Linked DNA regions of Macaca mulatta. The protein of the gene in region 1 interacts with the protein of each later gene in a biochemical or structural test. Links are inferred from orthologs where the notes say so. Each region holds a gene or a part of one and is shown on either strand. Other genes may lie near its edges.

The links.
Region 2: of the proteins of LDLR (region 1) and MYLIP, one has a biochemical effect on the other in vitro, tested with the Homo sapiens proteins (4 studies listed by BioGRID, with this or other methods). The link is inferred for Macaca mulatta from reciprocal best matches to the Homo sapiens genes LDLR and MYLIP.
Region 3: the proteins of LDLR (region 1) and PCSK9 form a complex in vitro, tested with the Homo sapiens proteins (3 studies listed by IntAct, with this or other methods). The link is inferred for Macaca mulatta from reciprocal best matches to the Homo sapiens genes LDLR and PCSK9.

Annotation. Positions count from the first base shown.
Region 1 is NC_133424.1:11,851,945-11,855,593, reverse strand, and holds part of LDLR (low-density lipoprotein receptor), read right to left. Parts: intron 3,157-3,649; coding exon 3,017-3,156; intron 1,051-3,016; coding exon 909-1,050; intron 774-908; coding exon 621-773; coding exon of another isoform or gene 568-620; exon of another isoform or gene 1-567.
Region 2 is NC_133409.1:166,971,928-166,975,576, reverse strand, and holds part of MYLIP (E3 ubiquitin-protein ligase MYLIP), read left to right. Parts: intron 1-2,232; coding exon 2,233-2,418; intron 2,419-3,331; coding exon 3,332-3,529; intron 3,530-3,649. UniProt on the Homo sapiens protein: E3 ubiquitin-protein ligase that mediates ubiquitination and subsequent proteasomal degradation of myosin regulatory light chain (MRLC), LDLR, VLDLR and LRP8. Activity depends on E2 enzymes of the UBE2D family.
Region 3 is NC_133406.1:185,576,401-185,580,049, forward strand, and holds part of PCSK9 (proprotein convertase subtilisin/kexin type 9), read right to left. Parts: coding exon 3,635-3,649; intron 2,494-3,634; coding exon 2,310-2,493; coding exon of another isoform or gene 2,280-2,309; intron 1,820-2,279; coding exon of another isoform or gene 1,784-1,819; coding exon 1,610-1,783; intron 1,321-1,609; coding exon 1,172-1,320; intron 384-1,171; coding exon of another isoform or gene 342-383; coding exon 164-341; coding exon of another isoform or gene 131-163; intron 1-130.

The DNA.
Region 1 (3,649 bases):
GAGGTGTTGGCCTCAATTGAGACTTTCTCAGAGGATGAGAAAAGTCCACAAAGGGGGCCTGGCACGGTGGTTCATGCCTGTAATCCTAGCACTTCAAGAGGCAGAGGTGAGTGGATCATCTGAGGTCAGGAGTTCGACACCAGCCTGACCACCGTGGAGAAACCCTGTCTGTACTAAAAATACAAAAATTAGCCAGGCGTGGCGGTGCATGCCTGTAATCCCAGCTACTTGGGAGGCTGAGGCATGAGAATTGCTTGAACCCAATAGGAGAGGCAGCAGTGAGCCAAGATGGCACCACTGCACTCCAGCCTGGGTGACAGAGCAAATCTCAAAAAAGAGAAATAAAAGTCAACAAAGGGGACCATTTCCTCCCTCAGGGCCCTTGTCAGAAATCATATCACCTCTTCACGGGTCCGGGAAAGAGGAAACCAGGTATCAAAGGGGAACTGGGTATATGTCCAGCCCAGTGCTGATGTGTCCATCCAAGGAAAGAAAAGTATGGTTTTCCCGACTCACGAGTCCTCACAATGACTTAGAGGTACCCATTTGACAGATAAGCAGAGAGTCTCAGGAGGGGCAGTTGGAGGACACAGGACACAGAAACAAGGCGTGTGCCGCACCTGTGAGGCAGCTCCTCATGTCCTTGGCCAGCAGCATGCCGTCCGGGCAGGTGCAGGTAAACTTGGGCGACTGGGGGTTGATCTGTGGGGCAGGTAGGCACAGATACTGGCAGCCGCCATTGCTCAGCGTGGTCCTCTCACACCAGTTCACTCCTGGGGCAGAAGAAGTGGAGTCAGGGCAGGAACCAGATCATCAGATAGACTAGAAGATTCCAGAAACTTCCAGAACATTCCAGAGTTTCCACAAGGAGGTTTCAAGGGGGGGTGGTGGGGCTGACCCACCCTTACCTCTTGGCTGGGTGAGGTTGTGGAAGAGGACCATATCCTCTGGGGACAGTAGGTTTTCGGCCAACAAATTGATATCAGAACCTGTGAGGCGGTTGGCACTGAAAATGGCTTCGTTGATGATATCTGTCCAAAATACTTTGTCCTAAACAGGCAGCAAGGAAGATGACAAATCCCATTAAACACTGGGATGAGATACAGGCCACCCTCTCTCCACAACTTGTTTGCTTGTTTGTTTTTTGAGACAGAATTTTACTCTTGTTGCCTAGGCTGGAGTACAGTGGCCCAGTCTCGGCTCACTGCAACCTCCACCTCCCGGGTTCAAACGATTATCCTGCTTCAGCCTCCCGAGTAGCTGGGATTACAAGCACATGCCACCACACCTGGCTAATTTTTTGTATTTTTAGTAGAGACGGGATTTCACCATGTTGGCCAGGCTGGATTCAAACTCCTGACCTCAGGCTATCCACCTGCCTCGGTCTCCCAAAGTGCTGGGATTACAAGCGTGAGCCACCATGCCTCACCCACAGCTAGCCCTTTTTTTTTTTTTTTTTTTTTTTTTTGAGACTAAGTCTTGCTCTGTCACCCAGGCTAGAGTGCAGTGGCACAATTTCGGCTCACTGCAATCTTAGCCTCCCAGGTTCAAGCGGCTCTCCTGCCTCAGCCTCCCGAGTAGCTGGGACTACAGGCGTGTGCCACCACACCTGGCTACTTTTTGTATTTTTAGTAGAGATGGGGTTTCACCATGTTGGCCTGGCTGGTCTCGAACTCCTGACCTCATGATCCACCTCCCTCAACCTCCCAAAGAGGTGGGATTATAGGCATGAGCCACCATGCCTGGCCCACAACTAGTTTTTAATTGTGGTAAAAATATACATAACATAAAATGTACCATCTCAGCTATTTGTAAGTGCACAGTTCAATGGCCTTAAGCAGATTCACACTGTTGTGCAAGTATCACCATCACCACCACCCATTTCCAGAAATTTTTTTCTTTTCTTTTCTTTTCTTTTTTTTTTTTTTGAGACAGAGTCCCACTCTGTCGCCCAGGCTGAAGTGCAGTGGCATGATCTTGGCTCACTGCAGCTTCCAACTCCTGGGATCAAGCAATTCTCATGGCTCGGTCTCTGGAGAACCCGGGATTACAGGTGCCTGCCACCACACCTGGCTACTTTTTGTATTTTTTGTAGAGACAGGGTTTCGTCATGTTGGCCAGGCTGGTCTCGCACTCCGGGACTCAAGTGATCCTCCTGCCTCAGCCTCCCAAAGTTCTGGGATTATAGGCGTAGGTTGCCGTGCCCAGTTTAAACCTCTTTTCTTTATAAATTACCCGGCCTCAGCTATTCCTTTACTAAAATGCAAATGGACGAACAGACCTGAGGGGACTCCACTTTTGGCTCTGGGTAATCATGCTGCCAGGAACGTGGGGTTATAAAATAATGCCATTTCCTTAGAGCAGGTTTCCCCATCGTGGCGGTATCTAGGGCCTGCTACTTCTCTGTTCTGGGCGTTCAGCAACGTCACTGGCCTCTACCCACTACATGCCAACAGTCTTCCCCATCAACTTGTGACAACCAAAAAATCTCTAGAAATCGCCAAATGTGCCCTGAGAGCCAAGATCACATGTGACCGAGGATCACTGCCTTTCACTGCTCTCAGTAAAAAGAATACAAAGCACCAGGCGCGGTGGCTCACGCCTGTAATCCCAGCCAGCACTTTGGGAGGCAGAGGCAGGTGGATCACCTGAGGTCGGGAGTTCGAGACCAGCCTGGCCAACATGGAGAAACCCTGTCTCTACTAAAAATACAAAATTAGCCGGGCATGGTGGTCCATGCCTATAATCCCAACTATTGGGGAGCCTGAGACAGGAGAATTGCTTGAACCTGGGAGGTGGAGGTTGCGGTGAGCTGAGATCACACCATTGCATTCCAGCCTGGGCAACAAGAGCGAAACTCCGTCTCAAAAAAAAAAAAAAAGAAAATAGAAATAACTCAGGTCTAAGACATCCTCCTAGTCATGACCAGTTTTCCGCATTCGTCTTGGCTTGAGTGATCTACACAGTCTGTGTCTATCTGCCATCTAAGTTCTTGCATCTCGTACGTAAGCCGCACCTCAAAGATGGCCAAGGAGAAGGGGTGGGCCAGCCTCTCTTTGTCCTCCAAGACGGTCTTCCGGTTGCCCCCGTTGACGTCGATGCTTGAGATGGAGTGAAGTTTAGAGTCAACCCAGTAGAGGCGGCCACTGGGGAAATCTAGAACACACAAGTGGATAAGGAGAGGTCACGTGCCGATGCCAGTCCCAGAGGGGCCTGCGGGCCTGGCCACGCTGATCCGGGCAGGAAGAACCCCCCAGGGACCCGGCAGAGGTACCTGGAGAGGCAGCTCCAACCATGTGTGATCCTGAACCCCTCCCCTGTGACGCCCTCTCCAACAGGCAGGTAGGGGAGCTGCAGGTCAGAAAAACCTCAGGGAGGCTGGGTACGGCGGCCCACGCCTGTCATCTTAGCAGTTTGGAAGACGGAGGTGGCAGGGACCCTTGCACCCTGGAGTTTGAGACCAGCCAGGCCAACATAACAAGACTGTGTCTCTTCCCCAAAATAAAATACAATTAGTCTGTGTGGTGGCACGTGTCTGTAGTCTCAGCTACTCAGGAGGGTGAGGCAGGAGGATCACTTGAGTCTGAGAGGTGGAGGCTGCAGTGAGCTACGATTGCGCCCCTGCACTCCAGCCTGGGTGACAGACCAA
Region 2 (3,649 bases), on another chromosome or scaffold:
TCAAAAAAAAAAAAAAAAAAAAAAGACGCCACTTTTACATAAGCAGTAATTAAACTAAGAAGACTTAGTTTGTGGCAATATTCTTCAAATCTTTCAGAGCATAATTTCTTCTTTAACATAAGCATAGATACAGATTTTAGTTTCCTAACAGCATGCCTCCACCCCAGTTGAATACAGAGATGGGTACATTCACCAAGATGACGTTTATCAAATGGTCATCTAAGAAACCTTTTGAGGCCTGCAACAGTGTGGTAAACCATGGCTTGCTGAGAATGCTAGATCTCAGTCCTCAGAGAGCTATTTTACAGCAAGTTATTTTTGTGGTGATTCCTTTGCCCCAATGGGGGCTCCCTTCTCAGTTTAGCAGTATGTCAGAAATACTTTAAAGATTAGCAGATGTTTGGGTTAATAAAAAGCATGTTTATCTTCTTTCAGGCTATTACACATTCTTACTATGATTTCTTTACAGGGACTTTGAAAAAAGAAAAAAACTGTAGTATTTGGTCATCATTTTAAATATTTCTTTATCATTACAGAATGCACAAAACATTGAATTTAAACACTTCTTAGTGAAAATAAGATTAATGGCTCTTGTCAGCCAGACATTTTAGACTCTAAGTGTAGCACTTCCTTAGATTTGTAGCCTCACTGTCTCCTCTTAGCTGATTCTTACTCGTTCATGTTCCTCTACCTGGAATGTCAGACACAGATATATTATAAACAGAAGCAGTGTTAGGGACATCGCACCTGGCCAAAGTTATAATTCATTTGTTACTGGGAGGAATATTGTGGCAATATTAACCTTGTTTGAGAGGTTATGACAAGTCATCAAAGGAAGGTTAAAACTTCACATTGGCCAGGGACACATGTTATAACTGAGGCCAATCTGTCTACAGCAGTTTAGATGCTCTTCAGAGTTTTGGGCAGTGTGACGAGTATCTGAATTTTACAGGAGTTTTTAAGTGTGGCATACCTTTTAGTAAATGTATAGTATTGTATACAACTAGGAGAGGCTCAAGCAGGATGAAACTAAGGCTGGAAAGTAAACTAATCACACATAATATGCAGTTTTATGTACATTTTTGGAGCGCTCTGATGTTCGAGGCACTTAAGAAGTCATATATAATATACATGTTATGTCAAATACTGTAGTAGAGGAATAGAGGATTTGCATGTGATACAGACCAATGGGTATCCAAGCAAGGGGACAGAAAGAATGGCCATCAGGACAGAGGGAGCAGCAAGACCAGAGACACCATGGCATGAACATGCTTCCTGGATTTTCCAGAGAGGAACTGTTCCCTCTCCTGGGGCATAGCAGCTGCAGGGAATGACAGGAGACGTGGCTGGAAAGCTGGGGCCAGATGGCGGAGACTCCTCAGCTCCACGTTAATGACGTGCTCCCTTGGCAAGCCGTACAGATCCCTTGAAGGATTTTGAGCAGAGAAATGACAAGTTTACACTAGAAACAAGCAGCATGGAAGGTAGGCTGCCTGCATGGAGTCTGGAGGAGGAGAGCAGCTCAGAGAATAGCGTAAATTCTTCCTGCAAGTAGTATTGAGGAGGTACAAACAGGAGCATAGAACTGGATTTAAATAGTTTTCAGAGACAAGAAAGTCAAGTGAAATTGGACAGAGTCCAAAGTCAGTCTGTGGTCTCCATTGGGAGAAAAGGGCTTTGGAAAGAATATATGGAGTTTGGTTTTGAATGAGCCAAAATTGAGGTAGTGAAGAATATCCAGGTGGTGAAGCCTATAGGAGATTGGACATTTTTCCTGTGATTCTTAGGAGAGAAGCTGGCACTGAGACTAGAGATAGGGGTATCATTTGAATAAAGGTGAGAATTTTGTCTTTATGTATAGGGTTCCTTAAGATTCTATGAGAATCTATGTCAAGATACATTTTTTCTGATTAAAATAATTTATTTTAAAACACTATAATGCAGAAATGTGTATGTGTAATTATTTTGTTTTGTAGCCTTAATGTTACCAAACTTGTATTAAATAAGTTTATCTTGTTTTTGAGTCACAACTTTTATTCCAAAGAAACTCAGTTCTTACTTTGATTTTGTCTTAATACTGATGGTTTTTTTTTTAAAGTTCTTTAATGTTAAGCATTTTCAGTGTGACTTTTTAAATTGCTCTCCTTAAAAGTGACTGTGGAATTGCTAAGTAGGCTGAGATTGATGTCAGGTTATCCCCAAGCGTAACCTCACTCTCACCTTGCTCTGCAGGCATATCTTTTTCTTGCACATCAAGGAGGCCCTCTTGGCAGGCCACCTTTTGTGTTCCCCAGAGCAGGCAGTGGAACTCAGTGCCCTCCTGGCCCAGACCAAGTTTGGAGACTACAACCAGAACACTGCCAAGTATAACTATGAGGAGCTGTGTGCCAAGGAGCTCTCCTCTGCCACCTTGAACAGGTGAGGCTGCCATCAGGGCGACTGCTTATATTCATAGAGCTATCAAATGTATGAGCATTTCCAGAAGAAGATGAATCTGTGGTACATACACATAATTCATGAGGTTAAGACTGGGCCATTGCCCAATTTAACCAAGTATTTTTTAAAAATTTGTTAGCCTTTTACTTGAAAAATATATAAACACAATATGAAATGCTATATAATGAGAATTTTTTAAATGTCTGCCTTTAAGTACAAATCTCCTAAAATAAAAAAATCTATTATGTATATTGGTGTTTTCTTCATCCCAGCAAGAATTAAACCAGGAGATCTAATAGGCATTTTAGTTATCTATTCCTGAATAACAAGTTACCCCAAATCTTAGTGGCTCAAAACAACAAAAATTGTCTCACAGTTCTGTAGGTCAGAAATCTGGCCATGTCTTGGCTGGGTCCTCTGGCTCATGAGACAGTAGTCAAGCTGCAGGTGGAACTCTGTCTCATCTGAAGGCTCAACAGAGGGTGGCCTCCATGCCAAGTTGACTCCTGTGGTTTGTTGGCCTGCCTTCTTCCCTGGCTACAGGGGCCTCAGGGGTCAGCTTTATACTTATAAACTATATGTGGACAAATGCATGAGACTTTCCAATATGTAAATTTGACTTATGTATATTTTTAGAGACTTTCCATAATTCTTCAATTCATCACCCATCCAGCATCCCCAAAGTGTTTTTACCAAGTATTTAATAGTTGAGATCCCAGTGTCTTAGAGGTTTTTTACAGTAAGTTCGCTAAATACATGAAACATCAGTAATACATAAGTTTTAAGCTGTTGTGATTCATCAGTGTTAGTATATTTCACTTGTGAAGACTACATGGGTTTATCTCTAAAGTTAATATCTGTATACTTAATTCTCTGTCCTCTTGGTGTCCTCCAGCATTGTTGCAAAACATAAGGAGTTAGAGGGGACCAGCCAGGCTTCAGCTGAATACCAAGTTTTGCAGATTGTGTCGGCAATGGAAAACTATGGCATAGAATGGCATTCTGTGAGGGATAGCGAAGGGCAGAAACTGCTCATTGGGGTTGGACCTGAAGGAATCTCAATTTGTAAAGATGACTTTAGCCCAATTAATAGGTAAGCCAAGACTTAACTTTTTTTGACCTAAGCATGTGTATACATCTGTAGCTCTCAACATAATAGAAAGTAGGAAGGGATTTACTTGACAGTCAGCTCTTAGGAATGAAATATTTCATT
Region 3 (3,649 bases), on another chromosome or scaffold:
CTGCCCAGGGTCAAAGGGCATGGAAGTGACAGAACCAGAGTATGGAATGGAAAGTCGGGTTCCAGTCTCATGGATCACACTCATGAGGACCAAGCCTCGAGGGCAGTGGGTGCATAAGGAGAAAGGGAACTCTCCTCACCCCAGGGCAGGCCCAGCCTCCTACCTGTGAGGACGTGGCCCTGCTGATGGCAGTGGACACGGGTCCCCATGCTGGCCCCAGCTGGTGGAGCTGTGTGGACGCTGCAGTTGACTTGGGGTAGCAGGCAGCACCTGGCAATGGCGTAGACACCCTCACCCCCAAAAGCGTTGTGGGCCCGGCAGACCCGCTTGCCCCCTTGGGCCTGAGAGTCAAAGACAGAAATAGGAATCTGCTTTAGAATGGGCTTTGAAAACAGAGAAAGGGACTAGACAGGATCAACTCAAGCACCCTCGTCAGTGTCCCTACCAGGGGCCAGTCAGACCCTGCCCCTAGCCTTCTGGGGACAAGGAGCTCGCTCCTGCCCAAAGTAGACTGTTCTGCCAATGGGCAGCTCTGAATACTCAAAAGTTCTTCCAAACACAGAGTGGTTTCAAAATGGAGATACAGGGAAATCCAAGAGGCCAAAGCAAGGACCCAGCGGGCTCCACCCCACCCACTCTGCCTCCCACACAAGCATTAAGACACCATCTCCCAGGCCAGAAATGCCTGCCCCTCCTCACTCTCCTGACTGGGCACTGCCCTTCCACCAAAATGCTGCGACCAGATGGCATCTGTGCACTACCCTGTAGCATCAACATCAATTCCCCTTTTTTGCTGGTTTGAGATTTCTCAGCTCCCAGAACCATGGAGCACCTGAGTGAGAAGGGCCTAGAGATGGCTGAGTCCAGAGTAGCAGATCCCTGACCCTCACGCTGACACCCATCCAGCACCCATTGAAAATCCATCCAGCACTGTCCTGCAGCCTCTAGGAAATCCTTCTCACTGTGGCTCTCTCCAGCGGCCCCCAGCAGCGTGAGATGAGGAGTGCCCCACTCCTGCTCTGGCCAGCCCTGTAAGCTTACAGAAGAGCTGGAGTGTCGAGGATGGAGGGGCTTGCTGCGGGTCCCTCAGGGCCCAGCACTCACACACACACACACACACACACACACACACACACACACACACACACACACACGAAGGAGGGGTAGCCACCTCGATGCGCTCGCCCCGCCGCTTCCCACTCCTGGAGAAACTGGAGCAGCTCAGCAGCTCCTCATCCTGGGCGCAGCGGGCTACGGCTGTGGCCATCCGTGTAGGCCCCGAGTGTGCTGACCACACAGTCCTGCAAAACAGCTGCCAACCTGCAAAAAGTGCCTGGGATGAGGAGGGGGTGCTGGGAGTGAGGGGACCTCCACAAAAATCTTTAGTTCATGGTAGGAGAGAGGAGGGCTTAAAGAACATACTCAACTGTCTCTATAAAAACATGTTATGAAAATATTGCAAAGCCCTTTCAGAGCCCCCTTCTCATTTAATCCTATTTAAGGTGGTGTCATCCTCCTTACACAGACAAGGGAGAGGGGAGAGACTGTCAAGGTCACACAGACCTCCCAAGCCCCAGTCTGGCCTCGCCCACCCTGCCGTCCTGCTTACCTGCCCTGTGGGTGCTGGGGGGCAGGGCGGCCACCAGGTTGGGGGTCAGTACCCGCTGGTCCTCAGGGAACCAGGCCTCATTGATGACATCTTTGGCAGAGAAGTGGATCAGTCTCTGCCTCAACTCGGCCAGAGTGAGCTCCGGCTCGGCAGACAGCATCATGGCTGCAATGCCTGGTACAGGGGTGAATGGTGAAAGATGGTGACGGCCTGACCCTCCTGCCCCAGCAGGGGACTCCTGCCAGTGCACACACACACACACATACACACAAAAATACGTGCACACACCAGAGACACCAAGCTCTCTTCTAGAAGGTAAGCCGCCTGCAGTCCCTCACACAGTGAGGTAAGACAGCCTTCCGTCACACCTCTAAGCCTTGGTAGTTGCTGTCTTATCGGCCAGGTGGACTCCTATTCATCCATCAAGCTCCAGATCAAATGTCCCTTGTCCAAGAAGCCTTCTCTGACCCTCGGGCTGGGCAGGTGCCTCCTCTGGGCTCCCTCTAATACAGCCCTAACCTCGTGTTCCCACTGTGCACTCGTCTCCCTCATCAGACTGAGTGTCCATGAAGGCACCATCAGGCCTGTCTCATCTCTGGTCCCCCTGCACAGAGCCTGGCACTGGAGGTCCTGGCACAGACCCTGACCGCCAAAGGGCTGTTAGCATCACGGTGGCCAAGGCAGTGGGGTGGTGACTTACCAGCCACGTGGGCAGCAGCCTGCGATGTCCCACTCCGTGACACAAAGCAGGTGCTGCAGTCGCTGGAGGCACCAATGATGTCCTCCCCTGGGGCAAAGAGGTCCACACAGCGGCCAAAGTTGGTCCCCAAAGTCCCCAGGGTCACCGGCTGGTCCTGGGCATTGGTGGCCCCAACTGTGATGACCTGGAAAGGTGAGGAGGTAGGTGGCACAGAAAGGAGCCCAAGAGAGGGGTTGCAGAAGCAAACTGAGGCCTTGCCAGCTGGGCTGAACAACTGCTATACACCTGTTTGGGTCCCATTCAAATGTCCCCTCCTAAGGAAAATCTGACTCCCCAGGCAGAACTCTGGCACCCCTGCCCCGCCCTGGTGCTCCCCTCTGTCCCTACCATAGCCAGGCAGCATTCCCAAAGCCCCTGTGGAGTTTACATTCTAGTGAGGGAGATAGGAAACTACTCGGTGTATCAGGTGGCTCTAAGTGCCACGGGGGGAGACTGAGAGGGCAAGGCAGAGATGTGTTGGGCTTTGTTTGCTTGATGCCTTTAAATTGGGCTGCCAGGGAAGCCTCCGAGGCCAGGGAGGATCTGGGTTACCGCTGTCAGGTATGCTTCTGCTCCGCAATCCCCACCCACAACGCGCGCGCGCACACACACAGACTTGAAGTTCCAGACTTGAAGTGGAACAAGATTCTCTCCCCTAGATACCCGCAGTGACCTGACACTGGAGGAGTGGTGGTCACAGGAGGGACGGTCACTGCCCCCCAGCTCCTCAGGGCCGAGGCTCCGTGTCTGTGTCCCGGCAGCCACACTGCACGGCCCTGCGGCACACTCTCTGGATGTCCCTCGGGTGAGGTCTGAGCCCTCAACTGTTCCCATTCACATTAGCCTTGCTCAAGTGGTCAGTCATGCAGCTGCGGAGGGATCTGGATAGTGGGGAGGGCCTAAGACTATTGGGCGGGCCCTAAGAATATTGGGCGGGCCCTAAGACTATTGGGCAGAGGACGCAGGGCCTGGGGAGGGAGATGGGGAGGGAGATGGGGAGGGGGCGGCTACCAGGAGACCCTCAAGAGGGAGAGTGGCCAGGACGGGCTGTGGGGGCGTGGCTTCGTGGGCGCCGCTACGTGGGGGCGTGGCGGGGTCACTGCTGTTCAGACTCTGGGATGATGGAGGCTCGAGGCCATTCCTCCCCAGCCTCCCGCATGGCGGGGGGGCTCTGACGACTCCTTCCAAAGCCAGAAGGGTTCAGCCTCCAGGAACGTGCTGCAAGAAGCCCACGAGGCCCGCCTGCCCTTTGCTCCCCGTCTTGGGGCAGCAGCCTCAGCACCTACCTCGGGAGCCGAGGC